Linked DNA regions of Struthio camelus. The protein of the gene in region 4 purifies or fractionates together with the protein of the main gene of each other region. This does not show direct contact. Links are inferred from orthologs where the notes say so. Each region holds a gene or a part of one and is shown on either strand. Other genes may lie near its edges. The genes, in order: CNOT2, CNOT6, CNOT11 and CAPZB.

Region 1 (7,013 bases), on a different chromosome or scaffold from region 4:
GGTTTCCTGACAGTAAAAATATATCTGAGACTATACTATATATCCGAGACTGAATATATCTGAGACAGAAGACACCTCCCCTCCTGTTCCCAGTATTCCCTCCTGGAAACTACAAATCCAGCAGATGAGAGGCCATCTGTGTGGATACCTTGTACTGCATTTTAACAGTAAAACACTAATGGAGCTGCACTTCCAGGGTTTCCCTTGCCAGTAGCCATCCCTGGAAATCCCCTGTAGGAGTGAAAGGATAGATGAGGACAGTGCCATGGAAACAGTTGAGCCTTTCCTTACCTTATCTAAATAAACTAGAAACTGCAGACTAACTTGCAAAAGTCAGCCTAACTATGCAAATCCTCCTCCCAAATCAAAGTATTTAGCGCTCCACTTCAGTGGAATAAATAAGAACTACGAGACACTACAGTGAGAAAATGAGGGGCCTTATTGTCTGCGCTCTTGAAAAAACAAACTCATCTTTGTGGTGAGATCTTGAATAACAGATTTGGCATAACATATGCTTTGACTTATCTTTATCCTGTGTTTTAGAAATATTCTAAAATCAAATAGGCTGTATTTATGAAAAAATCTACGTTCTTCTGAGGCAAAGATCAGTGCATAATAGTCAACAGGTGAGCACCCTACAGTCGTGCTCCAAAGACAGCAAATGGACAGTTTTGAAAATCATGCAGCAAGAAAGGTATCTGTGAGAAGCTGCTGCTCCCAGTTCACGGCGGGTCTTACACAGTTCCAAATTCTGTAGAAACCAGAAACCTCTGCCTTTTTTGGAGGCAACATTTTACTGTTTTAGCTAATCAAAGGCAGCTTGCAACTGAGGGGCAAAATCTTCTGGCTCCATCTGAGTTTCTTCTAATGCACTAACGTCAATTTGTGGAAGAGAAATATGGCCTATTTCATCACCATTGAAAAGCTGCTAATCCTTGCTCTAGGCAATTGCACTATTTGTTTTTCTTAAGGAATACTGAGGCAATCTATAGGTTGAAGAAGGAAAGACCCTTGTTGCTCTCCAATGCACTTCTTTGTTCTAATTAAAATGAATTACAAGACCAGCTATTCATCAGATTCTGCCTCCACTCATGATCTAGGATGGTGGTCTTATTATCAGGAATTTAATTTTACATTTTGGCAAGGTAGATGGAACTTCCTAACCGTGCGTGCCTCATATATACTCTGGGCAATTTGTCTTCCTCCTGCTTCTGCGACTGCGTAGTCCACATCTCTCAGTGCCACTTTGAATGGAGCCAGCTAGCATACAGAGGCTTTCTGGAGCAGGTACTAAGAAAAACTGCACAGAATTTCCAGTGATCTCACAGAGTCGCGATAACAAAGCATTTAGGGCTTCTGAGCACATCCCTCCCTCTTGTTGCCACCTTCCCAAGTTTTTTCAGGCTGCCAGTGCTCCACCCAACTGCTGTAGGCTTTTAGCTCTCTGTGGGTATCAGCATAAGCAACAGTCAGTTGGGAATACTAATGGCTAGATGAGTTTCATGGCTGCATCAAAATATGCACATTAAGGCCCCAGCCTTTCATGTAGAAAACTATGCTTTTGACTTCATCAGAACCCCATTAATACTTGACTGCATGGGCCTGCACATGCAATGAGCTGCAAGACAGGTTTTCTGTAGCTGCTGCCATCACACATTGTTCCTTCATCTGTGCTGCTGTATACAGGTTTGCAATAGGTAGTCTAACATTGATGAAAAAATTGATGCTTATCAGCCTAGTTGGTGAAATAAGTCCAAAAAAAAAAAAAAGGGAGACCTTTAATTAAATGGAATTGAAAATAAAAAATGCGTATTGGTTTGCAGACAAAGATTTGCCCAAGGAGGTCAAACTGAATATACAAGGGTCAGGTTCAAAATGGATTAGGAGCGTCCACACACAATTAGTAGCCATTTAATTAAATGAGCTCAGAACACCTCTTCAATTATGCAGGTGCCACTACGCAAAACAGGCCTCACCATTGTAGAAAAATGTATTCAGCCAATAGTAAAAGTAGCAAATGTAGGCAACACATTCCTCACAACTCAGTCTATTTATCAACCTGAGATTATTTTCAACCACTAAAATGCTAACAACTTTCACTTTCTTTAAGAAAACAAATGAGGAAGTCACATAAACACATAGTATAGTCACAGTGACAGCGTTCCACAACGAAACACACAATTTCACGGAGAAAGGCAGGTTAGATTTTTTAACTGACAGAATTTAAATCACAATTTACACAGGTTGCGATTGCTGCTTACGCTATCATATTAGGCTAAGACAATGAAAACACACTTTTTTGCATTCCCTGGCTCTGTTGAACTATATAGCCTTGCATGAATGTTAACTGACCTGCATGTGAACTGTAACTTGGTAATGGATACAGAGATCAGTCCACGCAGATGCAACGAAAACATCAGATGTTTAGTTTACTTGCATCATATTGTACTGGACATTGTAAAGTCTTAAATGATGTCTCTCTTTTGGGGAACAGAATGAAATTTAGAAAAAGAAACTCAGTTGAAGCATAAAAAGAAACATAATGGAGTAAAACTTTTACAAAAGGGATGTGCAATGGTCAGCAAGGCAGTAAGAAAAGCTTATTAAATAAGAGCAAGGATTAATGAGATTCATTATTGTCTTCAGTTTGAAAGCATAGCCTTACTGTCTGTAACGTGATATGAAGAAATATTTTTTAGATTGAACAACAAAAGTACTCCCAAATCTCATAGATATTCTAGTTAAAACAGGATGTCACTTCTGGGCTTTTATAATGGTTAGTTTATAGCAAATATACAGGTATTTGAGATACAAAGGAAAGGTTCCAAAATAAGGATAATAAAATAGAATATTTTCCTGGGTGAAGTGTATGAATATTTATTTCAATGACATGACACCTTGTAACTGTGCTCAGCAAAAAGTTGATGGCATTAATGAACCAGTTTCCTAGCTTGCAGAATGTGTTCTTTCAGCTTCAAAAATTGCTTATGTTGACAGATGTATTACTGTAGATATTAACATTTCTTTAAAACGTAGGTGTTGTGTAACCTACTGAACATACATATTTTTTTAAGTTCTGTTTGGAGACATTCATTATGAAGGTACCTGAGTGATGAAGAAAGCATGCCTATGAAGAGACTGGGGAAAAAAAAAAAACAAACCCTGTTCCTGATAAAGTATGTTCATTTTTTGGTTTGAATTTTCAAACTTTATGACGATTTCATAATGAAATTAATGCGGAAGGTTCCACTAACAGCTTTTCTTGATGGGGCAGAGAAGTCAGCTCACAACCGTAAAACACTCATGTACGGGCTTAGCTTCAGCACCGTTTACAGTCCCACTGAATTCAGGGGGATTATTTGCATTGGGAGTGTTTCGGGCATCCGCACGTGCCCTACTCGTAGCACCGACACACATACTTTCAGGGTGATAAATTAAAAAAAAAGAAAACAAAAGGACAAAATAACAGAGCAGTCCCATCTGGGCAACTTTTTTTCCCCATTTTAATATCTGGCCAAGCGCACAGGAGGGCCTGGCTGCCCGCCGCTACCTCAGCCACAGAAAAAAACCCCACCAGCTTGAGCAAAATTGGGCCCATCGGGAGGGCCGCTCCCGTCCTCGGCCCCCCTAGGCCGAGCCCCACGGCCCCGAGCCACGGCGCGGCCGGGGAGCGGGGGGGGGGGGGGGGGGGCAGCCGGCGGCCGCCCCGCACGGTCCCCCGCGGCGCCGCCATGTCCCCAGCGGCACGGGGCGGCCTTCACAAAATGGGGGCCGGCGGGGCGCCGCGGCCTACTGCCCGCCGCGGGGCCCGGCGGCGGCGGCGGCGCGGTCCCAGCCGCTGGGCCGCGTCTCCCCCGGGAGGCGGAGGGAAGCGCCGCCGCCGCGTCTCTGCCTCCTCCTCCTCCTCCTCCTCCTCCTCCTGCTGCTGCCCCCGCCCGCCGCGGCCCCCGGCCGCACCCCGCGGGGCCGCCCCGCGCCGCCTCTCCCCGCCCCTCGCGCGCGTTGCCAGGCCGGGCGGCGGCGGCGGCGGCGGCGGGGTCACGGCGGCGGCGGCGGCCGGGTCAGAGGGTAAAGGTTGCTCCCCCAGCATCCTCCGAGTTGGGATACTCAGCCATCTTGGATTCGCGGGACAAGAAAATTCATGCGGTGAGTCCGGCCCGTTTCTGCCTTTCCCTCGGCCCCCTCGCCGCGCCGCCCGCCCGCCGCCGCCGCCGCCTGGCCCCCCGCCGCCGCCGCCGCCCGCTCGCCCGCCCGCGCCGGGGCCCCGCGGCTCCGCCGCCCGCGCCGGGGCCGCGCAGGCCCGCGGCCGCCCCGCCGGGTTTCCGTTTGCTTTTGTCTCCGAGGGGGAGCGGGGGGGACGCGCGGCGCCCGCCGAGGCAGCGCAGCCCGCCGGCCCGGCTCGGCCCGGCCCGCCGCCGCCGCTGCCGCTCGGGGCCCGCCGAGGCCGCGGCTCGGCAGCGGCGGCGGCGGCGTCCGGGCCCCGCGTACCGCCGGGCCCCGCGTCTCCTGCGGCCGGCACCGCGGCCCGGGACGGCTCCCGGCCGCCGGCAGAGCCCCTCGGCCCGGCCCGGGCCTAGCCGCGGCCGCCGGCGCCCCGCCGAGCCCGCCCCGGCGTTGCGGTGCCCCCGGCGCCGCCTCCGCCGCCCCCGGCCGCGGCGCTGCGGGCGCCCACGGGCCGCGCTGCCGGGGCGCCGCTGCCGGGCGGCGCCGCTCGCCGGAGTGGCCTTGCGGCCTGCTCCCTCGGTGCCCCGGGGAGGCCCCGGCTGAGGAAAGGGGGTGAGGCGGGGATACTTCTTCCTTGTTTTCTTTCAAAAAATGTGCTTTTTAAAAAAAATTTTGTATACATTTTTATAAATATATATATATATATATTTGTGCGTGCACCCGTTTCACTCTCCTCCTGGCGGCGGTTAAGGCGATGTGTAAGGAGGCTCCGGTGTTTCCTCAACCGTGTCTGTAAAACAAACTTGGAGCGAACTGGTCCGCTGTGCCGAGCGCGGATGCTGCCGTGCTGTGCGCGGTGGTGCCTCGGTCCGGGCGCCCTGGCGTGAACCTGGCCCGGGGGCAGCGCGCAGGAGCGGCGGGCTGCGGTGGGAGAGCCCCGTTGGCGGGGAGGAGTGCGAGGCGCAGTGTTTACCCTGTCGTATATGTGTGTGCGTGTGTGTGCGCGCTTCTGACTGGAACTCTGATTTGCTTGCAAATATCACGGGTTTAGAATTTATGTTTTTTAATCACGTTACAGGTAGCTTTGTTTCAGGGAGGGTTGTAACATGACAAAACGACAACCTGCTTGTGTTGGTTGTGGCTCAGCAGCTTCCGCTTTCTCACAAGGCTGTGTTGGGAAAAACTCGTTTCTGACTTTGCGCTATTTTATCCCTATGGGAAGATGGAAACTTTATATGTGCGTATGTGTGTGCAGCTTGAGCGTGTGAAGGAAGCACTTGCGTTGGCCTGCGCAGCAGTAACATCTGGTGCTGGTGACTGGCCACTGGACTTAACTCCAGCTGGGGGGAAGCAGTTTAAGATGATCAAACCTGCTGTCACATCAGTTAGGAAAAATCTTTTTATTTCTGGAAACTGGGGTATTTTTCAAACTCCTAAAACGTGCAAAGGCCTGTAAAAGCAAGATAATTTTGTAGGTTCACATTGCAAAGATATCTTTACTTGGACCTAGAAGAACTGCTGTGTGTACATTGGTGTTCTTCAAGTTCTTTCATAATCGCATGTTAATAGAACACAGCTTGCAAAATCCAGTTTTGTGATCTTAAAGACTATGTATGTGTCCAGTACCTTTTTTTATTTTTTTTACTGCCACTATTGTTTATGCTGAGAATTCAGCTGACATGATAAACTTGAAGGTGTCAACTGCTTCAGATCTTAGGAAGGGATTTGAATACTTCATATCGTGAGCTGAGTGACTTGACTTGCAAGTGTATTTCCGTTTCACTTTCAGGAAGCTGATGATAAAGCTAAGAGAGCTTTAGTAGATAAACCTTGTCTACACGTCTCTTCTAGAAAGTTAATATTGTTGTCAAAGGAGCTGTTGTTAGAACTGATGCATGCACGGGTAGCCCCAGTAACAACTAATGAAAGCAAAAGCCCTTGGCTAAGAACTAAAAACAAAAATCCTAGAATTTGTGAAATTTAACTTGTATTTTCTTTAAATGAGTCTAATTTTAGATGATTGGTACTCAGTGGAAGAAATGGGGTAGTTAACATGTCCAAGTTTGATACTAAAAACTGGTGCCACAACTAGCTGTTTACACCTGAAAGTGTTGGTCTTTACCTTTGCCCGTTAATGAAAGTTGTGTATACCTGTAATGGAATGGTAGCTCTGATAAAGTGTTTGTGTTGTATTTGCCGAATTTCTAAATGAATTTCTGTCTAGACAGGAATTAGTTTTGAAATTAGAAAATTCGTTGCTTTTGTAGCCTCTACTGTGTTTTTATTTTTTAATTTATTTCTTGTGTTGGTGCAAGGGCCTGTCTTTTCTGAAGTTGCAAGATTGTAACTTCATTATAGTTTAAAAACAACCTTGGATCATAGCTCTATATATTTAAAAACATCTCGTACCTCCTTGTTATTATTGACTCAAGAGGTGCATGTAACTAAAAATACACCGTAATTTAGTTAAAATAGAGGTTTCTTGCACACCACTTTCTGACTTGATCTAGAAACTGTAGAGAAACATTCAATAGCTTTTGTTTTGTTATGAGGTAGTATAGAAAATGCAGCTCAGCTTCTGAGTGCAAATTTTTAACTTTTTTCAGATTTTTTCTGCTTGTAAAGCTATAGCATACTTGAATACAGATTTTAAAAGGCACTGTAAAGGATGTATTCTTAAAAAAAACTCAAATCATTGGCAAAATACTTGTCATATTTGTTGTGTTTATTTCTAAACGTTAGCTTAGAAGGGCTCTATGCCAGTTTGTATAGAGGTACAGTACCATATTCAGTCAAAAAACTTTTTGTCACAAATTTAGATGTTTGCTCTCTAAATGATAAAGGATAGT
Region 2 (7,780 bases), on a different chromosome or scaffold from region 4:
TAAAAAAAACCAAGGCACATTGTATGCCACAGGGCAAGAGTCAACCTCTCTCTCGTGTAGCTAGGACTAGAAACGAAATGTAGGGTCTGCAGAGATTGCTCTTCTGGGATTTTAAGGTCTGTGTTACTTTTCCAAGCTCATACATAATTATTACCTCTGGGCACTGTACATTTCTCCTAGCAAAAGTAATATCGGGTTAACTATCAATTCTTGTAAAATATGCAACTAGATTCTAAAGACTAAAAGTATATTTCATTCATGAAAATACCGTCTAGGTACACCCTTCACTTAAATTAGCCCCCTTTGGACCAGGGACGGTGTGTTACAAACTGCACATACACACACGTTCAGCCACAATTACATGACAGAACAAGAGAAAAATTTGAATTTCAATAGTCTGCTGGTAAACAGAAGAAGTAGGCCTACAGCCTCTGCAGCAGGGGCTACGCAACCGGAACGAGGAATTCAGGTTCACCACCTGGCCTCCTAGGCACGCTGGTAATCCATATAATAAGCTACATTGCACTACAAACAAAAACACTTAGCTTTTTGGCATTCCTACTGATAGAATACAGCCCATTTTTATTTTCGCTGCCATGCTTTATAAAAGGGATGCTTTTGTTGTTGAGTTGGGAAAGAATTTTTAGTTTGTTCACCCTTGGGAGCATCTACCCCTTTTCAAGGATAGCCTCTTCCATTATGAACACTGCACTTGTTTAGAAGAGCAAGTCTTCCTAATATCCAGAACAGCCTGACCTTAACATTTTTTATTTCTACGGGTACCACACTCATTCGATTTGTGACCCTTTGTGACATGTTTTTAAGTCTTCATATGTAAAACGTCAAGAGTATTTACCTGCCCATGCAGTATTACAGTCTCATCTATCTTTATATTTCAGTTCTTCCTCTAAAATTCAAGCACAGTAAACAGCCTGAACACATCAAGACTGCGCTCAGAGTTCAACTTCAATATGCAAACAGAAAAGAGATGCATGGTAGTATCCTTTTAATAAAATGGACCGATCCAAGCGATTCAGGTGCAAAGTGAATAAAGAGTTAATCCAAACGTGAAGGGCTCCATTTCAGTAATAGCATGAATAAACCCCCACAGAAGGCTTCTTTGCTAGCAGCAAACTCCACAGAGTCCAGATGAACCAGCAGGAAGAACAGAGGGTGGATAATCCTGTAAAATTACCCCAGTGGAAATGTTGATAAATTCCCAATTACGAGACCTGCTCTAGAATGAAGAAAAAAAAAAAGTGCAAGATACAAAACAATTACCAGTCAACACTTGTATATCCTCATATTTAAGCCAGACAAATGCCACAGCTATTTCTGAATCCCTTGTATTTTGAATTAGTTACCCATCGTGGCAAAATCTAGACTGAGAAAATAACCCTCAAAAAAAAAAAAAAAAAGAACCCAAACCCAGAAGACTTGCTAGTCGCAAAGCAAACGCCTGCCTATGCGCTTATATTTCCAGTAATGCAATTCTTTGTGCATCTGCAGAAATACAGATGTTTATTAAAAAAATACAACCCTGTTTTACTGTGTCTGCTCTGAATGCATTTCTTACACTGCAAAAAGCAAAGTAAGCTTTGTATGACTCTTTAACATTCGTGGAAAAGCTCCTGGTGAACCGTGTCTGCAACACAGAGGCACAGAAATGCAGTTTTTAAAAGTCTTGTATGGCCCCAGACTTAACATTTTCTATGACAGGGTAAAGGGGGGGAAGGCAGCCCCGGCAGAGGGACCCCGGGAACTCCTACCGCATTGCTTCACGCTCCGAGAGCGCAGGCAGCACAAAAAGCCTCACATTCAGCTCAGATTTTTTTAGACTGCCGGACAGGTGCACGGGGACTAACGAACGCAGTAAAAATTCCTCCCCTAATTAGCTCAATTAAAGAATAATGGCCTCTTCAAGAGCGCTGCAGCCCGACGCGTTTGGATACCTCCCACGGCTGCCAGCGGACGCCCCCCTTCCCGCGGCGCCGCGGACAAACAAGCCCCTTTTGGGGCCGCTGTCCCAATTCCCCTCTGTTTACCCCTGCATGCGTCTGTCCCCCGGCCTCACGTGGCCGCGCAAGTCCCGCCCCCCGCCTGCCCTCATTGGCCGGCCGCGCCGTCCGTCACGCCCCCCCCCCCCCAACCTCGGCCGTCTTCCCCTTCGCCGAGCGCTGCCAGGGCCGCTCCGGCCTCCCCGCCGCCAGCTAGGCCGCTGCCCGCCGCCGCCAGCCAGCGCCGGCCCCAGCCGCGCCCCGAGCAGCGCCGGGCACCGCCGCGGCTGAGACCCATCGGTCCCTCTCGGGAAGGGGGAAACTGCGCTCGGAGCGCAGACGGGCGATTGTCACATTGATGTCATTCCCCCCCCCCCCCAACACACACCTTTCTCCCTGTCTTTGTTTAATTATTTTAAACTCAACTGCACAGTTTAAAAAAAAAAAACAAAACTTCACGCTTCCAGATGTCATTAGGCTAATTCCTCTTAATTGCCTTCCCCGGGCCGATACGCCCGGCAGCTTCCCCGCTTCCCCTGCGCCCTGCACGCTCACCCGCCACATCGGTGTTTACCTGCCCGCCACCGCCGGTTGGCGGCGGGACCCCCCGCCCCGCACGGGGGCCCGGCCCGGCCCTGCCCGCGGCGGCAGCAGCAGCCGCCCCCGGCGGAGGCAGCGCGCTGCCGCCAGCGCCGCCCGCGGCCGCGCAGCCCCTTCCCCCAGCGCCGCGCCGCACCCCCGCCGGGCCCGCGGCCCCTTCCCCCAGCGCCGCGCCGGGAGGGGCCTGCGCGGCCGCAACGGCCCCGGCCCACGGCGCTGACACCCCCCTCAGCCCGGTGGTGGGGGTGGGGGGGGAACCTCCCCCTACCAACTAACTCCCACCGCCCCCTCCAAACTCCGAGGAGGTCCAACCCCCGCCCTACCTCCACCCCCGGCAGCCCCCGCCGGGCAGCGCTCCCCGCTCGCCATAACAGCGCTCCTCCCTTCCCCCACCAGCGGCCGTGCCCCCCCCCGCCCCCCGGCCCGGCATTAATACTCCTCCCCGCCACAGCGCCCCCCGCCCCGAGGCCGCGGGGGCGGCCCCTACCTGTGGCTGCAGCATCCCCGTCGCCCCGCCGCCCTCTCTCCGCCGCCTGCCTGGCTCTTTGTTTCCTGCCGCGGGCCGGACGGCAGAGCAGCCCCCCCCCGCCTCCTCCTCGCACTCATTGAAAGCAAACAAGCATCATGGCGGTGCTGCTGCTGGTGGTGGTTGTGGTGGTGGCGGTAGCGGCGGCGGCGGCGGCGGGCGGGCCGGCCCTGCCTCCTCCGGCCCTGCCTCCCTCCGCCCCGCCCGCCGCCGCCGCCGCCCACAGCCCGCGCCATTGGCCGCGCCGGGCCCCGCCGCCGCCGCCGGCGCCGCCGCGCAGGGCCCGGGCCGCGGCGGGGGGGAGCGAGATGGCGGAGTCGGCGTTGGAGCCCCGGCGGCGGGGAGACCGGGCGGGCTGGCAAATGGAGGGTGGGGGGAAACCAGCAGCGGGGGTGGCCGCAGCCGCGTTTGGGGGAGATCCGGGCAGAAACGGGGGTGCTGGGGGGGGGGGAAGCGTGTCTGGCCCCGCAGAGGCGCCCTCCGCGCGGGCCCGCGCCGGGCCGGGGGAGGCGGGAGAGGAACGTTTCCTCTATGTTTCAAATATTAGGCCGGTGTGAAGGGTGTAAAGCAGTGAAACAGCTTCTAGCGCAAGTCCAGGAAGCCTAATTAAAATAATCGTGTATTTTAACAACTTCAAATTCCTCTGCGTGTAGATAAGAATCACTAAGAACCCGAACGTGCAGTATGCGTGCTCAGACAAAATGTGCTTTTTATGAAGGGCGATGTCTTTTATATGTGAGTGTCTTCAATAACAAAATAGTGCCCTGGATCGTTTGCTGCTGACGTTTGCATGGGCGATGTTTACGGTAAAATGGCAACCAGAGTCACCATCGGCACCCTGTGTGAAATGCAGGTTAGGTCTCCTTAATTTCGTGTTTGAACCAGTTAGTGGAGGTATACCGAGATATTTGGAAAAATAAAGGACGTTGTTGTTAGGTGTTGTTATTACCGCCACTGTGCCAAAAGATTTTACCGTAAGACAAGAGATGCGAAGGTAAGAGATGTGGGGAACAAAGAATCAGTGAAATCAAAAAATCAGTGGGGTAGCATTGGCCAAAATTGCAAATAATGGTCTCAAAATGGAGTGGATTTCCCTTGATTATCATAAAGTTAAAACGTCCAAGCGATGTTGAGACAGAAAATTGCTAGCGCGCTCAACGTGCCCCATCTAGTCAAGAGGGATAGTAAGCAAAAAACGTTATCACAGAAATGCAACCTATTTCTGAAATAGGAAGGCTAAAAAGAACTGAAGCTTCATCTGTTTAGGTATAACTGGGTATGTAAGTGAAAATAAACGGCACTTACATAGTTGTGGAACAGGCCATTCTCTTCTAATCTAGTTGAAAAATGGAGACTACCTCATCTTGCTCCTGCGCAGCACCGACAATGGCCAGCAAAAGAAGCACTTTGCAAAGAATGACCCCACGCGGTGTACCAGGCGTGGTCATAAAATGGACGCAGCTGAAAAGTTTACTCCCTTGGTGCTTTAAATAACATGCTATACCTCAGATTTCTGCCCAGCCTGCTCAGGTCACGTATCTGAAATTCTCGGATGTTGAAATGTCTCCATGCTGCATGATGCAGTAGGGTTTTGAAGACATCTGAGCTGGCTCCGTTACTGGACGTAGCGCCTGTTCTGGCAGAAGTGCTGGATCTGCTTCCAGGGCTGAAGCTGGCTCCTGTAGAGCTGACAGTCGTTTAGAGCTAGCTCAAGTAGCTCTATGTGTCATTCTCTTTTACTATATATGTTTTATTTCTGATAACCAGCTGTCACCCACATTCTTCAGTTAATACTTTCTAGGTCAGATATGGCCTCAATCGACTATATCATTTTGCCTAGAGTTAATTCTCCAAAAGCAGTAGTAAAGTCTTTGAATGCATTGCAGAATTTTCCAGGAATTGCTTCTCAACAAAGAACACTCAGCTGATCGTAAGTCTTTCAAAATTTGCAGGGAAAATTCATTCCTTGGGGATGGGTACTGGGATAATATTACAGTAGACTTGGAAAGGTCTACCGGCAAGGGCCTTCATCATTGCAAATGGAGACCAAATGGCAGAAAATACTAGTAATTCTCAAGTAATTGAGATAAGCAAAAAAGAGAGCATCAGAGGAAATCATTTAAGAGCGCTCACAAAATAATTCTGTAGTATTGTCTATTATATAAATCAACAGGTGATCACAGCAATTGGGCAAATTGACTTTCTGGTAACTTTAGAGGTTATTTATAAAAAAGCAGCAATATTTGAAGAGTCTAAAGTTATGGCCTTTTATGTCAATAAGTTTTGTTTGAACAGTCAATTTGATTATGTGATTTGAAAAAAAAACAGAATGAAGTAAAAACACGCATGTGGTTTTTTTAGAAACCGTTATGCTACAGTGAATTTCCTGTGCAGAAGCACTGTTGCTCATCTGTGCATACAATTAACTTTTGCTTCACGTTAAGTGTCATCAGAACTGTAACCAGGCAAACACTGCAGCAGATGGCTAGTGCCAGTATTAGTGTTTCTGGTCTGGGTGCTTAATGAGATCTGAGAGTGTAATACGAGCCTCTTTCATTTTGTCTGTCTCACATGGCAGATATACTTTATGCAAGCGCTCTTGTTGCTCAAGGTCACAGATTCATCAATCAAAAGAGAGCCATTCCCATTAATCTTTTACCTGCCCGTGAGAGTTTCCATACATCTCAGGAGCTGCAGTGTCACATGGAGCGTGCTTGTCCTGAGCTCAGGCCAGTACTGTTGTTAAAGAGAGTCAAATGAGTGCAGAAAAGTTAAATTCAAAATAGTCTGAGCTTAAGTTTTCATTCATAAATTAAATAGTACATAAATACATGTTTGTGCTGTGGAATGGGAGTCTTTGAGCGGCCGCCTTTAGGCCAAACCTAGCTTGTGGCACACAAGCAAGTGTCCCACTAGACAAAGGTGTATGTCCTACAGTCTTTCTGATCTTACACCTGGAGCTATAAGCATTTGCTGTGACCTAGCTCAAAAACTGCTAGCAGCCCACTCTCTCTGTCATCTTCCCTCCTCATGCATTTATTCAAGGTAGGAGCTGGGGAGTGTGGAGGAGAGGGGGGTGGGGAAGGTAATTGTCCACGTTGCAAATAATTACAGCTGTTTTGAGAACCTATTGCCTCTATGCATTGACAGAGGGATGTGAAACTTGTGGTAAAGAATTGCCTTTGTGGCAGAGTTATGGTACGTTTTGCTTTTGCCCTTGTTTAAATGGCCAAATTTGGTAAAGTTAGAATCATTTGAAATACAGACTTGCTTGACTCAGTAAAGACTTGCTTGACTTCTAAATTCTTTGAAGTAAAAGACAGAGTCCTTCATCCTTTGTGACTCATATGGGATGAGCGAACGCAGGAGGCATCTCCCCATCCTGAAAGAAAACAAGCTCAGAGCTGTCCTGGCTTGGGAAAGCTCTTACGGTTTTGGTTACGGAAGAGGTGAACAAGGAGACTTTCTGTGCTGGCTGCACTCCCACTTTGTGTCTGGGAAATGTGAAGACAGAGGAGCAGAGTAACTGCAATGTACGGGGATGAGAAATGGAGCAGAGAAGAAAGAGAGCAGCATTGCAGTGAAGCAGGATGGATAATGAGGAGGAAGGAAGGGAGTGAATGAAGCAGGTGAGGGATCCCAGACAGGAGGGCAGAGATCACTTAAAGCCTGATCTTCTACATTTTCAGTATATCCAGGTAGAGAGACCAGGGTCTGACTTGCAGAGAAGCTTCCAAGGCAGTGGAGATCAGTGGGATCACTGCTCTGGACATGGGACGTTGCTGCAAACACAGATACTCTGAAAAATTAGGTCTTGGGGCGCTCACATCGGACATCTAGAATCACTGCACGCTTCATGATTTCAGCCTTTAGTTTTATGGCCTGTTCTCCATTTATCAAGTGAACATAATAGCATCTGTTGTCATAGTGGGATGGTAAAGATTAATCTTTGATGTTTATTGAGCATTAAAAGTATAGGAAAGCCCCATACAAAAAGCATTGAGGAGATTAATATTCCTGGTTTCCTCTGGACAGAATGGAGTGAGGCGGCTTCCAGAAGACTTGTGTGTGAAAAGATAATTGAAAACTGCCCTTACGCATATTCACAGTAGAGCTGAATTAAAGAATTTGAATCCTGGGATGCCATAGTTTGTAGGTACTTAGCTTTGCAACCCTAGCATTACTTTATTACATATGTTTGTATTTATACAAAAGTTGCCTAAATACTTAAGAAGAAATTGAACATGACAAAAAGCTTTCAGCTATTTCTTTCTAGAAATATCTGCTTTTAATATTAAGACATCCGTAATAAGAGAGGGATTTCTAACTCCTTTTTGTCAGTTAGGGATACTAATGCTGAGCTCTACCACCACCCAAGATATTTGTATACTGTGTTTAAATGACTGGTATAATTACTTAGATATTTGATTCATTATCAGGACTATAGCAGTTTAAAATGCATGTTGAATCTTATTCTCTTCCTTAAGCTTGCAGGACTAGAGGAACATTTAGTCGTTAACATTTTCTAGTGTGTCCATTTGGGTTATACTGCAGTAGTAAAGCAATAGATCTAAAAAATCCCATGGTTCTTACTCATCCCAATCAACTGTTAACATCTGAACACATTTACGAAGCTGACTTGGAATTGTTAACCATA
Region 3 (7,676 bases), on a different chromosome or scaffold from region 4:
ATCTTCCGTGGAATATAAACCCACTGAAATAGCTGGCGTCCCAAATCTCCCCCTTGAGAGTAATGTGGTGCCTTTTAGAAGTCATATCTGGGCGAGAATTCATTCATTTGAGCCTCCGCTAGCATCACATTCTCTTGGTTCTTCCTTGCACAAGTTTCAAGCCTGAGAACATCAGCAGCAATACGCTCACAAAACGCGTATGCTCAATATGCTCACAAAACATAGCACCTTGTGCAGTTATGGAAACCCTCTTTTGTAGCACATTTACTATACTTCCCGTCCCAGTAGCATTTTACCCCCATCTTTTTCTTAGGCTAAGATTTTTGCTCCCGCAAAACGGACATCTGCTTTAAAAGTCATGAGGACTTCATTATCTACTTTGTCAACTGATGCTTGCTGCCCATCCCACTTCCTATAAAGTATTCCATCTTCTAAACTGTTAGCTTTCCTGCTCTGATCAGAAACCTTTTCATTTGGATAGAATAATTTAAGATGGCTTCATTAGCCACATATGAGTCACACAGGTTTTTTTGCTATCTCAGTCACCCGGGGAAACTTTTTATTGCTCTGAAGTCCATTTCTGCAAATCTACATCCATTACTCCAGTAAATATGCTATACAAGAGTGACTTACATTTCTGCAAATTATAGGAAGAAGCTTTCTCTTTCTAAACATGTTTGTTCCTCTTGCAACAAATCTTTTGCTCTGCTGTCTTCAGCAGAGTTTGTTATTAAGAAGTAGGCTGTACAAAAAAGACCATCTGGACAGAAGCACCACAGTTCTATTCAACTGTGAGACAGCATCCAGCAAAGTGTCCTTCAGCGTGAGCCACAGATATAGGCGTCATCATCCCTAACAACAAACTTCGTCCCAAAAATGAACAAAAAATGACTTTTGCTCGCACACCAAAGGCAGAAAATCTGGAGAGTCTGTGAATCCAAGAGATGAGCAAGATATAAAAAAACACTGAGGGGAAAAGGTTTTAAGAGAAAAGCCAAATTAATTCTTTGCATCTCTACATGAGATCTGGGAGACGTTCCCACACAAGAACCTTTACTGACGGGGTACAAGTCAAGAGAACTGTCTTACTCTGCAGTGTTAGTAAAAGAAGTGAACCTAATTGCCTAAAATGAGATATTATTTATCACCAGTGGCAGATGGGATTCACTCAAGAGATTTATACCAGCTGAAGGATGAAGATGATAACCTATGAACTGTGGGTGTACCTGCTGATCAAAATGGTCTCAGTATCAAAGAAAGAAGGGTGGCAAATGTCACATCAATCTTTAAAAAGGTCATGCAGATAATCCAACAAACTACAAACCACCAAGTCCAATTTCTGTACACATTGCAGGAAACTACAGCAATGAACAGAAACGTGCCCAGAGAGGTGAGACATTGAGGATTAACCTCCATGTGTGTACATAAAGGGACTGATGATGCACTCTTCCTGGGTACATGCTGCAGCTGCTCAAAGATTCCCAGTGAGACAAAATCATTCAGGATTGTCAAACTCATGGGAAACTACTGCAGGAGATTTTCATAATATTGAATGACTAAGTGGAATGGTGATGAAATCAAATATTTGATAAATGTAAAATACTGCAGCGAGGGTGGGGTGGAAAGGGAAGGAATCCTTCCCTTTTGTAGAGTTCAGTGCTACCCAGCCAGCTATTGCCGCTGAGGAAAGATAACCTGGAGTCATTGAAGACAGTTCTTTGATAGTGTCAGCTCAACCCTCACTGGTCAAAACAGCAAACAGCATACTAGGCATTACTGGAAAAGCAACAGAGAACAAAACAGGTCTCATTACATAAAGGTGTGTAAACCTACAGATCTACGGGACACTCACAGGTGGAACACTGGATGCAAGTTTGGTTCTCACTACTCAAAAAAAGGATATACCAGAAGTAGAAAAGCAGGATAGAAGGGCAATAAGGATGACAGAACTATGGAATAGATGCTACAGAAGAGGACATTAAACAAATGAGACATCTAGCCTAGAAAGAGAACACCTGAGGTAAGATAAGTAAGAGATGTACAGAATGATGAGTGACGAAGAGAGTGGAGAAGGAAGTACTGTTTTGGACAGAAGGGGTCTTAAATTGCCACGCTCATTGCCATAGGTTGGCGGTGTCACAGAGTTTTATGGATGAAATATAAACAGGCTCAAAAAACACGTAAGACAAGCTCATGAAAGAAAGTTCCATTTCACTAATCACAGTGATGAGGATTCAACCTTTGACTCAGGAAGTCTCTAAGCTGCAGATGGCCAGAAGCTGAGAGTACACAGGGGGAAGTGTCACTCTGTGCTTTCCCTGTTACACCCTTTCTTTAAGCTTCTACTAGCAGTCATGGAGAGGGCACTGAGCTCAATGAACGTTATGAACCTCACTGTTTTTGTGCACAATGATGGACGTTTCTAGCCACAGCTACTCATACAAGTCTCCTTCATTTAGTCCAGTACCTCCTATCAAGAAAACCTAGTTTTGCTGTAATAAGCTACCACTCTCCCAAGTCTTTTATATCCCTGTATCAAACCAGATTCCCTCGTCTGTATAGCTGTTTCAAAGAGAAAGAGGAACAGCCACTAGGGCCTCTTCCACTCTGCAGACCACTGAGATTGTTTCACCTCCCCAGTGAACAATGGTTCTTTAATCCCACAAAACCAAAAAATCTTTCCCCGACAAGAACAGAGTACTGCAGTAATTCCTCTATAGATGAGTGCTGGTGGGTCAGAGGGGAAGATAAAGTTGGTCTCTTCTGCATATCCTCAGTTTCTTTGTAAGCTGAAATGTCTCCTCAAAGACTGAGTGTTCAAGCCAGGTGCAGAAGTTCATCCTTTCCACCTATTTTTCCAGAAAGCCATCTGAGTTCTGAGGAACCTTCCTCTCCTAACTACCGAGCTTTCACATTATTTCAGTGGGGGTAATCAACCTCCTCTATGTATCACAAGTAAGGCAGAAAAGCTCTCCTACATGTCTAAACTTTCCCAGGTTTACGGTCCTGCTAGCCTCACCGTACACCTACATAGATGACTTCCTTCAGCAGTTTGCAGTCCTTTGATCTTCCTCCCAAATCTTACAATTTAAGTCCTTGCTGTAGCTGTTAGTAAGTTCCAAACTGCCCCAACTTCCAAGACTCCTTGTTTCCTAGAATATACTCTGGGCCAAGACAGCAAGTTCACCAGCCTCCTCTTCCATCTCCTTTACTCGTTTAGCCTGTGTATTTTGCAAGCAGATTTCTCACAGTGATCTAGTCAGTGAACAGGCACTATACCAACAAGGCTTTCAGAAGACCGTCTTCCACATGGCTAACATTCGTTCAACTATTATCAGCACTTCTTCAGGCTGTGCTTGGTCTGTCTGTGGGCTGCTGTCGATCTCAAGATGCAGTTCCACAGGGTAAGCTGATGAAATAGATCTTTCTCCCTTTCTTCCAGTCACACCCTACTGCAGCTCCACTGGCCTTCAGGTCTTGCAAGAAACCCTTCAGTGGATAGTTTCCAGTTGAATCAGCTCATGGAAGAAACAGATGAGCCCCAGCTCCAGGATCGCCTTTGGGCAGGACAAAAGTGGACAGCGAGAATAAGCACGTTTCAACAGCAGGAATTGGCAAGGTTGCCTTGGCTGTTCACTGACGCACGGCCCTGGCTTCTCTGTTCTTCTCTGTCACTCTTCCTCAGACACGCAACCTTTCACAACACATTTGTCCACGTGTCAGGCACGTGCCCTTGCTCCCACTCTGGGTTATGACATGAGAAGACATTTGGGCTGGAAGTTTCATCTGTTGTTTCAGAAAGCAACTCGGATGAGTCAGTGATCTTAACTGAAGGATATCATAAGAAAATGCAATCAATCACCTAATAGCTCTGCTGTTAAAAGCAGTTGTGATTGATTCTCCTCAGCCAAGAAAACAATGCTAAATCTACCTCTCAGCAGGGACAGGCAAAGATGGAGAGAGCTACAGATGCAGCTACAGGTCAACCATTTTGCTTCCTCCTGAACAGCACCTCATTTCTTCAGATCGCTGTATGACAGCCACCCTGCTGTGTGGGTTCTAGTCGCAGTTATCTCCCTGGAGGTCTGTCCAGCAGGCCACCAGGAAGCCGAGCAGCTCCCCATGCACCTTACACTGGGATTGTTGCTCTCCTCTAATTAAAAAAAAAAAAAAAAAAAAAGGGAAAGGAGGAAAACTAAGGGAAGGGAGAAAAACGCCCCCGCCCGCCCCGCACAGGCCCGCCGCCCCCGCGCACGCGCAGAGCGGCCCCCCCGCGGCTGGCTGCCGCCGGGCTCCCCCTGCCGGCCCGCCCCAACGGCCGCGCGCTGCCAGCCGCCGGCGCGCTCCGGCCCCACCCCCTCCCCGGCGCGGACCAATGGCAGCACGCGGAGCCGCGCAGCCAGGGCCAATCTCCCCGCCCCCTCTCCCCGCTTCGCGGCGCCGGCCAATCGCTTTCCACGGGGACGTGCAGGCGGCCAATCGCCGGGGTCGATCGCGCGCGCGTGTGGCGCCCTGTGCTCGCTCGCCTGCCCGCCCCGCGCCAAGCCGGAGTCTCCCTCCCGCCCTCCCGCTCCGTTGCGGCCCCGCACTGCCTTTACGGCAGCGCCGTAAAGCGGTGCCGGCACGGCGTTGCGGCCGCGGGGCGCAGCGGGGCCGGTGGCCGTTGCGCGGGGCGGGGCGGGGGCGCGGATGCCCGGTGGCGGCGGCGGCAGCAGTAGCCCGGCGCCCTGCACTCAGGTGGGAGCCGAGGAGCCCGGCGGCGCGGCGGGGGCGGGCGGCGGCCCGGCGGCGGCGGGCGGCAGGATGAGCCTGTCGCCGAAGGAGCTGTCGAGCCTGCTGAGCATCGTGTCGGAGGAGGCGGGCGGCAGCACCTTCGAGGGCCTCTCCAGCGCCTTCCACCACTACTTCGGCAAGGCCGAGCACTTCCGCCTCGGCTCCGTCCTCGTCCTGCTCCTGCAGCAGCCCGACCTGCTGCCCAGCCCCGCGCAGCGCCTCACCGCCCTCTACCTCCTCTGGGAGATGTACCGCACCGAGCCCCTGGCCGCCAACCCCTTCGCCGCCGTCTTCGCCCACCTCCTCAACCCCGCGCCCGAGCGCGGCGGCGACGAGGCCGAGCGCACGCCGCTCTCCGGTGCGTCCCGGGGAGTGGGGAGGAGCGGGGGGGGGGTGCTGGGCCGGGGGGCAGCGGCTGGTGCCCGGCCGCGCTGCTGGGGGGCAGCCCCCCCCCCCCCCCCGGCGGCGGGCTGAGGCGCTGGGAGCCGCCTGGCCGTTTGCCCTCCGTAGCGCTTCTCGAGGCTTTCGGAGAGCGGCAGGCGTTCCCGTCCGGGGGTGGCGGGGAGTGCAAAACGGTGGCGCTTTTTCATGGCTAAAGCGTTGCCGTGCCCGTGCGGCCTGGTCTGGCAGAGCTTGCTTGACTGGACCGTAAAACGGAGCTTTCGTGAGTAAGCTTTTACAAAAGTCGTGAAGGTAATAGGAGTTTCTCAACAGCTTCTTAAAAGCGGTGAAACAAACTTTGTAATGAAATACGTGGAACCCTATATGTGATACAGTTTCCCCCAGCAGTAAATACATGCATGACAGTGATGGGTAAATCACTTCCTAAATTTTTTCTTGGTTTACTTTCTGTATAAATGGCGGTGCATATCATGTCATGTTTTATAGCTCATTATTTATGTAAACTTATCTAAACTTACTTAGTCTAAACTTATGACTGACTTAGTGTTAGGTGTTGCATGTCAGCATGTTCTGCTTTTAGATTACTTTTGTGTTTAAGAACCAGTAGGTATAATGTTGAATTTTACCTTAGGAGCTGAGTAGATACAGGTTTTGTGTGTATTTACAAAGACTTTTCAGTTGCACTGATGTCAGCATAAATCATACAGTAGTTTGTGTTCTGTTTTTGTTTGCTGCTTCTCCGTGAAGACTATTGAAAGTACTAATGTGGCTGGCCTAACAGTCAGGGATTATTTTTCCTTGTGTCTTCATAGGCTTTTTACCTCCCATAACTCCTCCAGAAAAGTTCTTTCTGTCTCAACTGATGTTGGCCCCCCCAAGAGAGCTCTTCAAGAAGACTCCTCGGCAGATTGCTTCAATGGATGTAGGGAACATGGCCCAGTCAGTGGATATAAGCGGCCTTCAGCTAGCCTTAGCAGGTAAGGAAGAACCGCAGTGTGCCATGGTTCAATTAGAATTCAACTGTTAATTATAATTTGCCTGTGAGCTACTTGGGAAACATTCTTGCCTATCCTAAATATTAAAAAGGTTCAGCAGTGGTTTTGAGTAATAGGATAAAGCAATCTGTGCTTGAGGTTTCTACTTAAAAAAGCAATTTCCTACGCGCAGAAGTCCTCACTGCCTTAAAAATAAGATATTTTCACAAGTATAAAAGTATTTTCATCTAAAGCGTTGTTTCTTTTCTTTCCATGAATGTTTTCATCTCTTTTCACTCTCTGCAGTAGTTCTAGTATGAAAGAACATAGGATAACTGTCACATAGCAGTATTTCAGCTGCAGCTGGCAGATTGGCTATTACAATTGCATCTCCAGTTTTATGAAATAGTCAGATTTTCAAGTGTGAGCTCGAGACTGGGAGCACGGTCTGCTTTTGCTAGGTTGAAAAGAAAAGCAAAGTAATGCTTATCCTTTGACAGGAGAAAGGAGCATGATTGTTCTGATCGTTTCGTCTTCTGGACGTAATCTGAAATAGAAAATATTGTGGGGGACGAGGAGCCAGTCTAGACAGCAAAAATTAGTGGGTTTTTTTTTCCCCAGTTATGTGCAAATGGGTTTACTCACCTGAAAACTGATCCTCCTGGTTCTTTATCTATATAATGTGGTTCACCTCTCTGAATTATGCACTGACTAGGCTTTCTCAGTCCCACCGTTGTATTTTGATCTCATCGCTTTTTGCAGGATCAGTCACTGTTTTCTTATGCTCTGTTATACTGTCCCTTGTTTGCAGTGTATAAATCTTCTTTGGTGTTCTCCTCAGACATGATTTCCAGACTGCAGGATGTTTTGAAAATGCAACATTGAATACACTAACCTACCTTTGAGGGGTTGTCACAGTTGTATGGATGGGTACTCAATGCATTTTATTCTGCCCTTTTTTTAAAGTGCAAGACAGTGGCGTCTTTAAAAACAGTACAGTCATTAATGGTGCTTTTCAAAATGCAGCCCTGTAAGATGTGCTCGTATGTTTACTTAAGATAGTAAACATGCATAACTAGCTTTGTTATATAACTCTTGCAAAGACTCATAGCAATACTGTACTTCTGATAAAACGTTATGCTGCCTTTCTCATACTTCGAGCTGTAGCTTCCAAGAATAAATGTCTTCTTTCTATCCACTTTCTTAGAAGTTGACTCTTTTCGCTCTTATTTCAACATTGTCATGCTTCTTGACTGTCTACTTGTAATGTTTCAGAAATACTGAAGACTTCTGAAAAATTTACAGTGCGTTTCTCCTAATGATTCAAAATGCAAGATGAAGCTGTGCTGTTTATGCAGTGCAGACTTATTTCTGTTGCAACGCTTAAATACGATGTTTGAGGTGTTGGATTTGTCCCATTTTTCTCCATGTTTCCTGGAACGTAAAAGTTGTAAGGCTTCATGGCTCTGGAAAGTGGATTTTGTTGTTTGTTTGCTTATTTTTGTTTTTGATTTTTTGTCCCCGAAA
Region 4 (7,974 bases):
ACTTTCATTTTGTTTTACTCCCAGATGTCAACTAGTAAGATATCAGCATATGTATTTACCAAATGAGGAAATCCTGTTTGAACAACTTGAGCTTGAGAACGTTTTTCCTTCGCTAATAAACCACAAGATTAAGCATCACTGCAATGCCAGTATTCCCTATCCCAATGATATCCTTCAACTTGATTACTTTGGGAATTTGCCTTTTAAGATAACATTTAGCTAAGCTCACATGCTTGGCTTGGCTAACAAAACATGGACTCTACAAAACAGCTTAAGTCAGTATTTCTCCAAAAGCACAAGGTGCAAAGGACTTTCTGTGGGCGCTGAAAACCTACCCCGAGCTCTTATGCTATATGCTACGGTTTCAAAAGTGACATGATTAGCTTAGCAGGAGAGAGAGGCGCTCAGTGTTCAGGCATCTGGAAAAGTACTACCTTTGGCTGTTCAGTTTTACAAGTCATTTAATACTGTTTTACTAGCAGTTGTACAAACCCAAGTTATTTATCAAGCAGCAATGCATTTGCCCAAGACAAACAGCCCCTACCTTGAAAATATTAATTACTCTGAACAGCACACCAAGATTAAGTACCTGAGTGGCAGCGTCACATCATGCATCGCTGGCTGTGCTTCAATGCCTTTTAGCTGCCTCGCAAATTCTAAGCGGATGATGTGCAGCCAGCGCTACACTAGACAATTCAAACTTCCGGTTGATTGAATTATAAATTTTACTGAGATTGCCTGCTTTTTACTATGGAGGTGGATAGCACAAGAAATACATAAGCACAATCATTTCCAGGCCATGTAAACTGCCCTGACTTTTTTTTCCCCTCTCCCCTCATTTACATGGACAGTGACTGGGTTTTATCCATTGGTAACCCACAATTCCAGAAACCTCAGCGGCTCCACCTTCTGAAGTCGTGTCCACCAGCTAGCTTATTTTTAGCACAAAAGACCAACATCTATCTAGACAGATTTCAGGCTTCACGCATTGCCCTGCCCCATTCCACCTAGCAGCTGACTGAAATTCTGACGCACTTCTGAAATTACATTTAAACTCAGCAAGAACAATTCAGATTTAAGATGCTTTTGAGTGACTGTGCAAAAGAGAAGTGGCTCCCGTCCATCTGTTCCATGCAGATATCGGAAATCCCACGGTACCAAGAAGGTGTTTGACCAAATATCCTGGGCCATAACAACTCCCAGCTGCTATGAAACATGCTATTGCCTTCAATGCCAGGGACGTTTCAGAATGTCAGTGCTGCATTTCAGGACTGCGCTTTCATACCCTTTAAAAATAAAGATACTGGAAGTATTCTACGTACTACATGGTATAATTGCATTATCTGCATAATGTGAGTTAATTGTATGGAGTCTATAAAGTTTTAGAAGATTTTCAGTTACACATTACGAACATTAGCTTTGAAACCTCAGTCTGCGCTTCCACTAACAACATACACTAAATTTGGATCATTTGTCCTTTTCGAATGTGATCAGTGATTCGTCTTATATGCTTCTACTAGAGACAAATAAACCACATTTAAATTACTACATCTTTTAAGTGAGTCTTCAAATCTGCAAAGAGCAACTGTGATATATGAACAATGAAGTGGCTGCAGCGCGTTCATACTCAAGGGCCACTCAACAACTGAGACAAGCACATACTGCTGAAAGTCCTGATCAAATCTCTCCCACACCCAGCATTCTCCATTATTAAGCATGAAAAATCAGGTGACAGCATACGAGCTTACAGTTCTCATAAAATTTCTAAAGGGTTTGTACTCCGCCTCCCCAAAGAACTGATACAGTTACACTTAAACCCAAACTAGATTCTTCTTATCCAAACTGTAGCATTCTTCTTCTTCTCACAGAATGCCTTCATATCCCCTCAAGAGGACAACTTGTTTGCCATCACTTTCACTCTATGCGAGGCCTACTAGCTTTCCCTGAATTTTCTTCCCTCCATGAGGGCTTCTACCAGAGCCAAAGTTTGGACGGTTTGTCAGAGTCCTGATTTCAAAGTCTACAGTCACGTCTTGCGTATCTAGAAGATTGTAGTCAAGAATCTTCTTTTACGTACAACTGAAACAACGTGTTCAGCACCATCACCCTCCGCACTCGGAGGTCAGGTCAGGTCCAGCATCTCCCGTGTTCAAACGAAAACAGAATAGCAGAGCCTTGATCTCGGGCGCACTTCACCATTCACGAGAGACTGAAAATTTTACCCTGTATAATGCGGGTGGCAGGATCATCACCATCGCCAACTTGGAAGATAAATAAGTCATGGCCTCTGAAATTCTCAAGGCCAAAGATCAGCAGGAAAGGAGCATACTCGCCTACTTAACCAGTCTCCACGTTGCTACGCAGCCGGGCAGTGGGGTTTTCTTCCCCTTTTATCTGACGACAGGTGAACACTCCTAAGCCGCCAGGTTCAACAACTCAAACCGCAAGTTCTCGAGCGGGATTAAGGACACACGCCGGTAACTCCGAGCAAACCTGCGCGCCCGCGGGCTGGGCCGGCCGAGCACCAGGGCCCGGCCCGGCTCCGCTTCGCCCCAGCCGACCCGCTCAGCTGCCGAGGCCGGCTACGGCCCTCTTCGACCGGGCCCGACGGCAAGGCAGCGGGTCCCGGCAGGGGCCTCACGGCGCTGAGGGAACCGGCGGTTCCCCCCCCCTCCCCCTCCGCGCGCGCCTAACGGCCGCCGCGCGCGCCTAACGGCCGCCGCTCGCCCCCGCGCCACCGGCCTTCCCCGGAGCGGGCCGCCGCCGCCGCCGCCCCGGGGCTCCAGCCCCCCCCCCGCAACGCCGGGGAAGGGGCCCCGCGGCGGCCGCCTCGCCCTTACCATGGCGGCTCGGCGGGGCTGCGCTGGGCTGTGGCAACGGCGGCGGCGGCGCCTCCCGGTCGCTTCCGCTCTCCCTCCGAGGCAGGCCGCGGCCCGTCACTTCCGCCGTGGACTTAGGCGTGAACATCCGGGTCAGCGCCGCCCCGCCCCGCCCCGCCGCGCCCCGCCGCCAATCAGCGCGCGGCTCGCCGGCCATCGCCAAGTATGGAGCGCGGCGGGCCAGCGGGGCGGGGGAGGGAGGGAACCATTCCTCCGCGGGGGGGAGGGGGGAAGGAAGGAGGGAACAAGCTGAGCGGGGAGGAGCGAGGCCGAGGCGGGAGACGGCGGGCGCAGGGACCGAGGGGAGGCGGGGGTGGGGGGGGGGGAAGCAGCGCGGCGGGCCGGAGGAGGGAGGGGGGCGGCGGGAGCTACCAACTCAGGTATAGGGGGGGAGCACGGCCGGGCGGCCAATCGGAGGCGGGGGGCGGGCTCGGGGGCGGGGCCTGCGGCGGGCGCGCCAACAGCCCGCGGGCGCGCTCAGGGCAGGGCCCCCCGCCAAGCACCGCGTCCGCCTCTGCACCCCCCCCCCCTTTCCCTCCTTTTCCCCTTTTTTCCCCTTTTTTTCCCTTTTTCTCCCTTCTTCTCCTTCCCCTTTTTCCCTTTATTCCTTTTTCATTTTTTCCTTCTGCTTTATTGCCTTTTTTCCCTTCCTTTTTTCAGATTTTTAGATTAGATTTTTTTGTTTTTTAAGATTTTAATTTGAGATTAGACGAAAAAAGGCAGCACGAGGCCCACATTTAGCATGGAAAACGCCAGCCTGAGCAGGTACACTTCCTCCAATCGCCAAGCAGCTGACAAGCAGCCCTTGCAGAGGTAACCCTGATAAGCGTCATTGCTTGTGTGGCCTAAAATAGAGTCATCTCTTAACTGTTGAGCTCTGTAGCGTGAGTTGCGAGGAGAAAAAAAAAATCAGCCTCTGGCTACTTAAGGACAAGGTTAATTAATTGCAATGGCAAGCGTTCAGCCTCCTCTGGAAGCTTACCCTTTGATTCAGCAAAGCATGTAGGTACGTGCTTCGAGTTAAGCAGAGACATATTTTGATGACTTCAAGGCTTAAGCAGCTGAGATGCAGATCGCCAAATGAGAGATAAAAATCAGCAAATCGGGGTGTATATACAAATAAAACATGTTTTGCTTCTCTCAGACTGTCCCAAAAGGACAACATTGGGTTTTTTTCCCTCCTAATCTACTAATTCACTTTTCAACCACCTTGGGTAAAACTCATCCTGATTGCAGACTCTGTACGTGTCCTTCTAAATTATTTTGGACACGTGAAGTTAACAAATGCAACTTAACTAGTTACCCCAGGAGAAGAGCTGATATATTACGTGGCAACGGTTTCCTCTAGGGGTTTTTTTTTTTTTTGAACAATTATTTGGCCCGGGTTGCAGCAGAGCTGGAGCGCCAGCATCCTGAGAACCCTCCACTGGTGCCTTCTGGCTGCTGCGTTGCAGACTTGGCCCTTGCGAGCCAAAGCCCCTTTTGTTGTTCCATTTACTTTTGCTGTGGAAACTGGAACTGCTGACAAGGGGACTCGCGCGCCGCTTCCTGCGCTGATGTAATCCTCCTGGAGCGGGTGTGAAACTCTGACAGCGTGTGCAATTCCTGCATTGAAATTTTAATAGAAATTATGTAGTCTTAAGGGGACCCCTTCATTTTTCCCTTGGATGTAATATTTAGTGGTACATCCTTCTGGCAGGGGATGACCCAAGGCCAAGTCCTGATTTTGCACTAACATATCACAGTTGTTCATGGCTCAGCTCTTAAATGTTTTAACTATTAGATCCCAGACCAGACCTTCCAAGAAGTAAAAACTCTAACAATGCTCGTTTTACTTGACGCATACTCAGGGCAAAACAGCTTTGTTGTTTTTGTTGTGGTGAAAGCGTCCGGCTAAATTTCCGGAGAAGTTAACTGTTGAGGTATGCGTACTCAGTTATGAAAGCTAGCATGAGCTATCATCTAGTTTAAGGGCATAACCGTTACGTAGGTAAATTGACACGACCCACATGCACACATAATGGCTGTCACTGTTCATGCAAACTATATGTCTTAAGTTTTGATTTTATAGTTTGATTACTCTCTGACAATGTGCTGCCACTGATTTAAGTTCACCTTTGCCCACTGCTGCTTTTCTCCCGCGCCTCTGGTTCTGCTCTTCTCAGTGCAGAAACAAAATGAATCTAGCAAGTAGAGGATAGCAATTAGTAAAAATAATCTCTCGAGAAAAGCAGGAGCTGCATTACTTCACAGAAAAACAAAGGGACATAAATTCATCGGTAAGCCACTATCAAATACACCATGAAATGGGAAACAGTCTTCCCCTGCCTAGCAGATAGGCCGCATAACCTCAGAAGGCATTTCCTGCTCTTGATTCTTTGAATCTGCTTCTTCACCAACACCAGTTGGCCTAGCCTCTTTGAGGCCAATTAAAACATGCAGTAATCTGAAGTGGCTTCTCTTATGCAGTCCCCAGATCCTTCAGTCCGTATGTTCCCTCAGAGGTGCCTATGAGTAGTAATTAAGAAAAGCAAGCCTGCTCTGTGCACATAACAAATTAGTCATTTGTTATACAGGGGTCCACACATCTTACGTGCAGGGGCAGGGCCTTGGGAGGATAGCATTAATATAAACTTGAAAATGAGTGTTCTAAACCTCATGATTTTTGCCACAAAACTCACATAAGGCATGCAATGATCACTGTGCTTTTAGTTTAGCAGCTCTTATGCTTAGAAACAACAATTGTTTCTAGCTTCTTGCTGAAGAAAGAGAGCAAGAATCATGCAGCCTGGTGTAGTTTAAACAATTTGAGATCCAAATGAACGTTGAGGCCAAGAGGATGTTTTTCTTAGCGGAAGAAATACAAGCACTCTGGATTTCGTTTTTCTGCTAATAGGTATAAAGAAGAATAAACAGCTGCTTTTTGTTTTCCCAAAAATATTTGCATTAAGAAGATCTGCAGATTCCTTTTGAAATTAATGGAACATCTTTTCAAATGAGGACCAGCTGCTTGCTTTGCTTGTTTATAGCAGGACATGCTTAAGGGAATTTTTTTTTATTTGTTTGTTTACTAAGATGTAGGACCAGACCCTTCCTTGTAGGCTGCAATTTGCAGCGCGGACTGCGTCTGAGTAGGCAGAGGGTTCTGCAGCTGTAACTACGGTTGTAGCCATCCTACCTTCTGTTGTGATTCTTGGAGGGGCTGACAGCTAAATAAAGCCAGTGCAGGTCTATATGTGGGAGACATGCAAGAAACCTGTGAATGTCGCGAGACGGTGTTATTAACTGCATTGTTAGCTATGTTCCTCTCCAGAGGTGGTGGTAGTTCAGGGCTAAGTAGGATGACCCTTGTATATGATGCTGTATTCTTTTTTTTCTTTAATCTACTCCAGACTCTAAGGAAAATAATCCCTTTAGCAGGAACGGCAACATAATTGGCACATTGATTTTAAGAAGCACAGGTGAAAGGCACTAGATTGGCATAAGGACAGCAGCAGTACTATTTATTTTGCTCAGGGCAGGCTTTTTCTTCACATAAGTAAATTCAGTTGGGATAACTTGAGGGTTAGGGCTGCTTTGCTAGGTTTTGTGTGTATGTTTGTTTGCTTTAACAACAGAAACTGAAATAAGTTTTATCCAGCCCTATTTTAACAGCCAGACAACTGTGAAAGCCACAAGACAGGTGGAAGAAGCAGAGTTACTGAAAAACCTCTGCTCGAGGAAAAGTCTGATTCTGATTTGATGCTGTGACAAAGTGAGTGAAATCTGAAGGCAAAAAAAAGGGAAGAAAATGCAGAGATGGACTTTAGCCATAAGATTTTCAATAAAACCGCAAAAGATGCATTACAAAGGCAGCTGAAGAGGCCATCTGTGGAGCAACCATAAGGCAGGATAGGAAATGAGAGAAGACTGATAAATATTGTTAGCAACAGGAGCTTCAAGCCTGGAGAGTGGCTCAAGAAGGGGCCCAGCCTCTGCATAGCCCTACGCTTGGAATAGCTGTTATGGCGAACAAGCACACATTGCCTTTCAATGAGAGCAGTAACAACTTCCATCCATTTTGCAGCGCTGTAAAAACTCTGCACAGGTTTCAAGGCAAAAGAAGATCCCAACACTGAAATTGCTGGAGTGGGTCACAAAGCTAAGTTACCTCGCAAGCCTACAGCTGAGCAGCAGGTTCAGAGCCCAGAGAGCGGAGTTCTCCTATATGCAGCTGTATTTCATACAGCATTTTGAAAACTAGGGATGAGAATTATTTCTGAGAGTTCAGCTGCTTGTTCTTCATATTTTCTGGAGTTAAGAGGACTCGCTACAATACAGCGGCATATAGATTAGTCCTTACTGGGGCACATTGCTAGGAAACCGGAAAACACACAGGAAAACAAAAACATCCTCTGATCCGTGCCTCAGGGTGCTCTGCGGGAGGCTCATAAAGGTGTTGGTGTTCCCAGCCTCTAGAGAGCCGAACAGGGGTAGGGGACCTGCACCACCGCTTCCAGAGCGATTTCAAGAGCTCAGCTCCATTGGATCTAGTCAGCTTACAGGCATTTCCCCACATATCATGACACGGGATCATCCACCTAAAGAGAAAAGAGCGTGCTGGAAGGGCTTAGTGTCAGGCATTATACATCTGTGAAATGAGGGTCTGTAAACAAAGGAAGCAAACAATGATGTCAGTTGACGGCTTAACAGCCCTACAGCATCAGATTCATGTGCAATTAATAACAGAGCTTTTGATCTTGCAGTCAGCAACTATAAAATACATATGCTTTCCCTGTATATTTGATTATATTCAAGGAAGCAAAAGGATAAATACTTTTTATTAGCATTACCGAGTACTTTTCACATTAAGCCAGAACTTCATAAAGCATTTGCAGTCTGACACGATATGCTTTTTATTTCATCCCCCTGCATGTGTTGCATGCAGGGTGAAATGCTATTTATTTTGTTTATTCCAGTGTTCAGCCAGGACCAAAAATACTTACGAGAACATAGGTGCTTAGAAATTAGCTCCTAGAGAAAACTTGTCAGGCTTTCCTGAATATTAATTTTTCTATTTAATGAAAAGGACAGCTAGGGATTTTCTTAGGTCAGA

The links.
Region 1: the proteins of CAPZB (region 4) and CNOT2 purify together in Homo sapiens (co-immunoprecipitation; 4 studies listed by BioGRID and IntAct, with this or other methods). This does not show direct contact. The link is inferred for Struthio camelus from reciprocal best matches to the Homo sapiens genes CAPZB and CNOT2.
Region 2: the proteins of CAPZB (region 4) and CNOT6 purify together in Homo sapiens (co-immunoprecipitation; 3 studies listed by BioGRID and IntAct, with this or other methods). This does not show direct contact. The link is inferred for Struthio camelus from reciprocal best matches to the Homo sapiens genes CAPZB and CNOT6.
Region 3: the proteins of CAPZB (region 4) and CNOT11 purify together in Homo sapiens (co-immunoprecipitation; 3 studies listed by BioGRID and IntAct, with this or other methods). This does not show direct contact. The link is inferred for Struthio camelus from reciprocal best matches to the Homo sapiens genes CAPZB and CNOT11.

What each region holds. Positions count from the first base shown.
Region 1 is NC_090942.1:41,015,892-41,022,904, forward strand, and holds the start of CNOT2 (CCR4-NOT transcription complex subunit 2), read left to right. Parts: upstream 1-4,007; 5' UTR 4,008-4,146; intron 4,147-7,013. UniProt on the Homo sapiens protein: Component of the CCR4-NOT complex which is one of the major cellular mRNA deadenylases and is linked to various cellular processes including bulk mRNA degradation, miRNA-mediated repression, translational repression during translational initiation and general transcription regulation.
Region 2 is NC_090954.1:6,505,553-6,513,332, reverse strand, and holds the start of CNOT6 (CCR4-NOT transcription complex subunit 6), read right to left. Parts: upstream 3,001-7,780; 5' UTR 2,967-3,000; coding exon 2,921-2,966; intron 1,546-2,920; exon of another isoform or gene 857-1,545; intron 1-856. UniProt on the Homo sapiens protein: Poly(A) nuclease with 3'-5' RNase activity.
Region 3 is NC_090942.1:152,289,802-152,297,477, forward strand, and holds the start of CNOT11 (CCR4-NOT transcription complex subunit 11), read left to right. Parts: upstream 1-4,675; 5' UTR 4,676-4,689; coding exon 4,690-5,131; intron 5,132-5,987; coding exon 5,988-6,152; intron 6,153-7,676. UniProt on the Homo sapiens protein: Component of the CCR4-NOT complex which is one of the major cellular mRNA deadenylases and is linked to various cellular processes including bulk mRNA degradation, miRNA-mediated repression, translational repression during translational initiation and general transcription regulation.
Region 4 is NC_090962.1:12,918,934-12,926,907, reverse strand, and holds the start of CAPZB (F-actin-capping protein subunit beta), read right to left. Parts: upstream 3,012-7,974; 5' UTR 2,844-3,011; coding exon 2,841-2,843; intron 1-2,840. UniProt on the Homo sapiens protein: F-actin-capping proteins bind in a Ca(2+)-independent manner to the fast growing ends of actin filaments (barbed end) thereby blocking the exchange of subunits at these ends.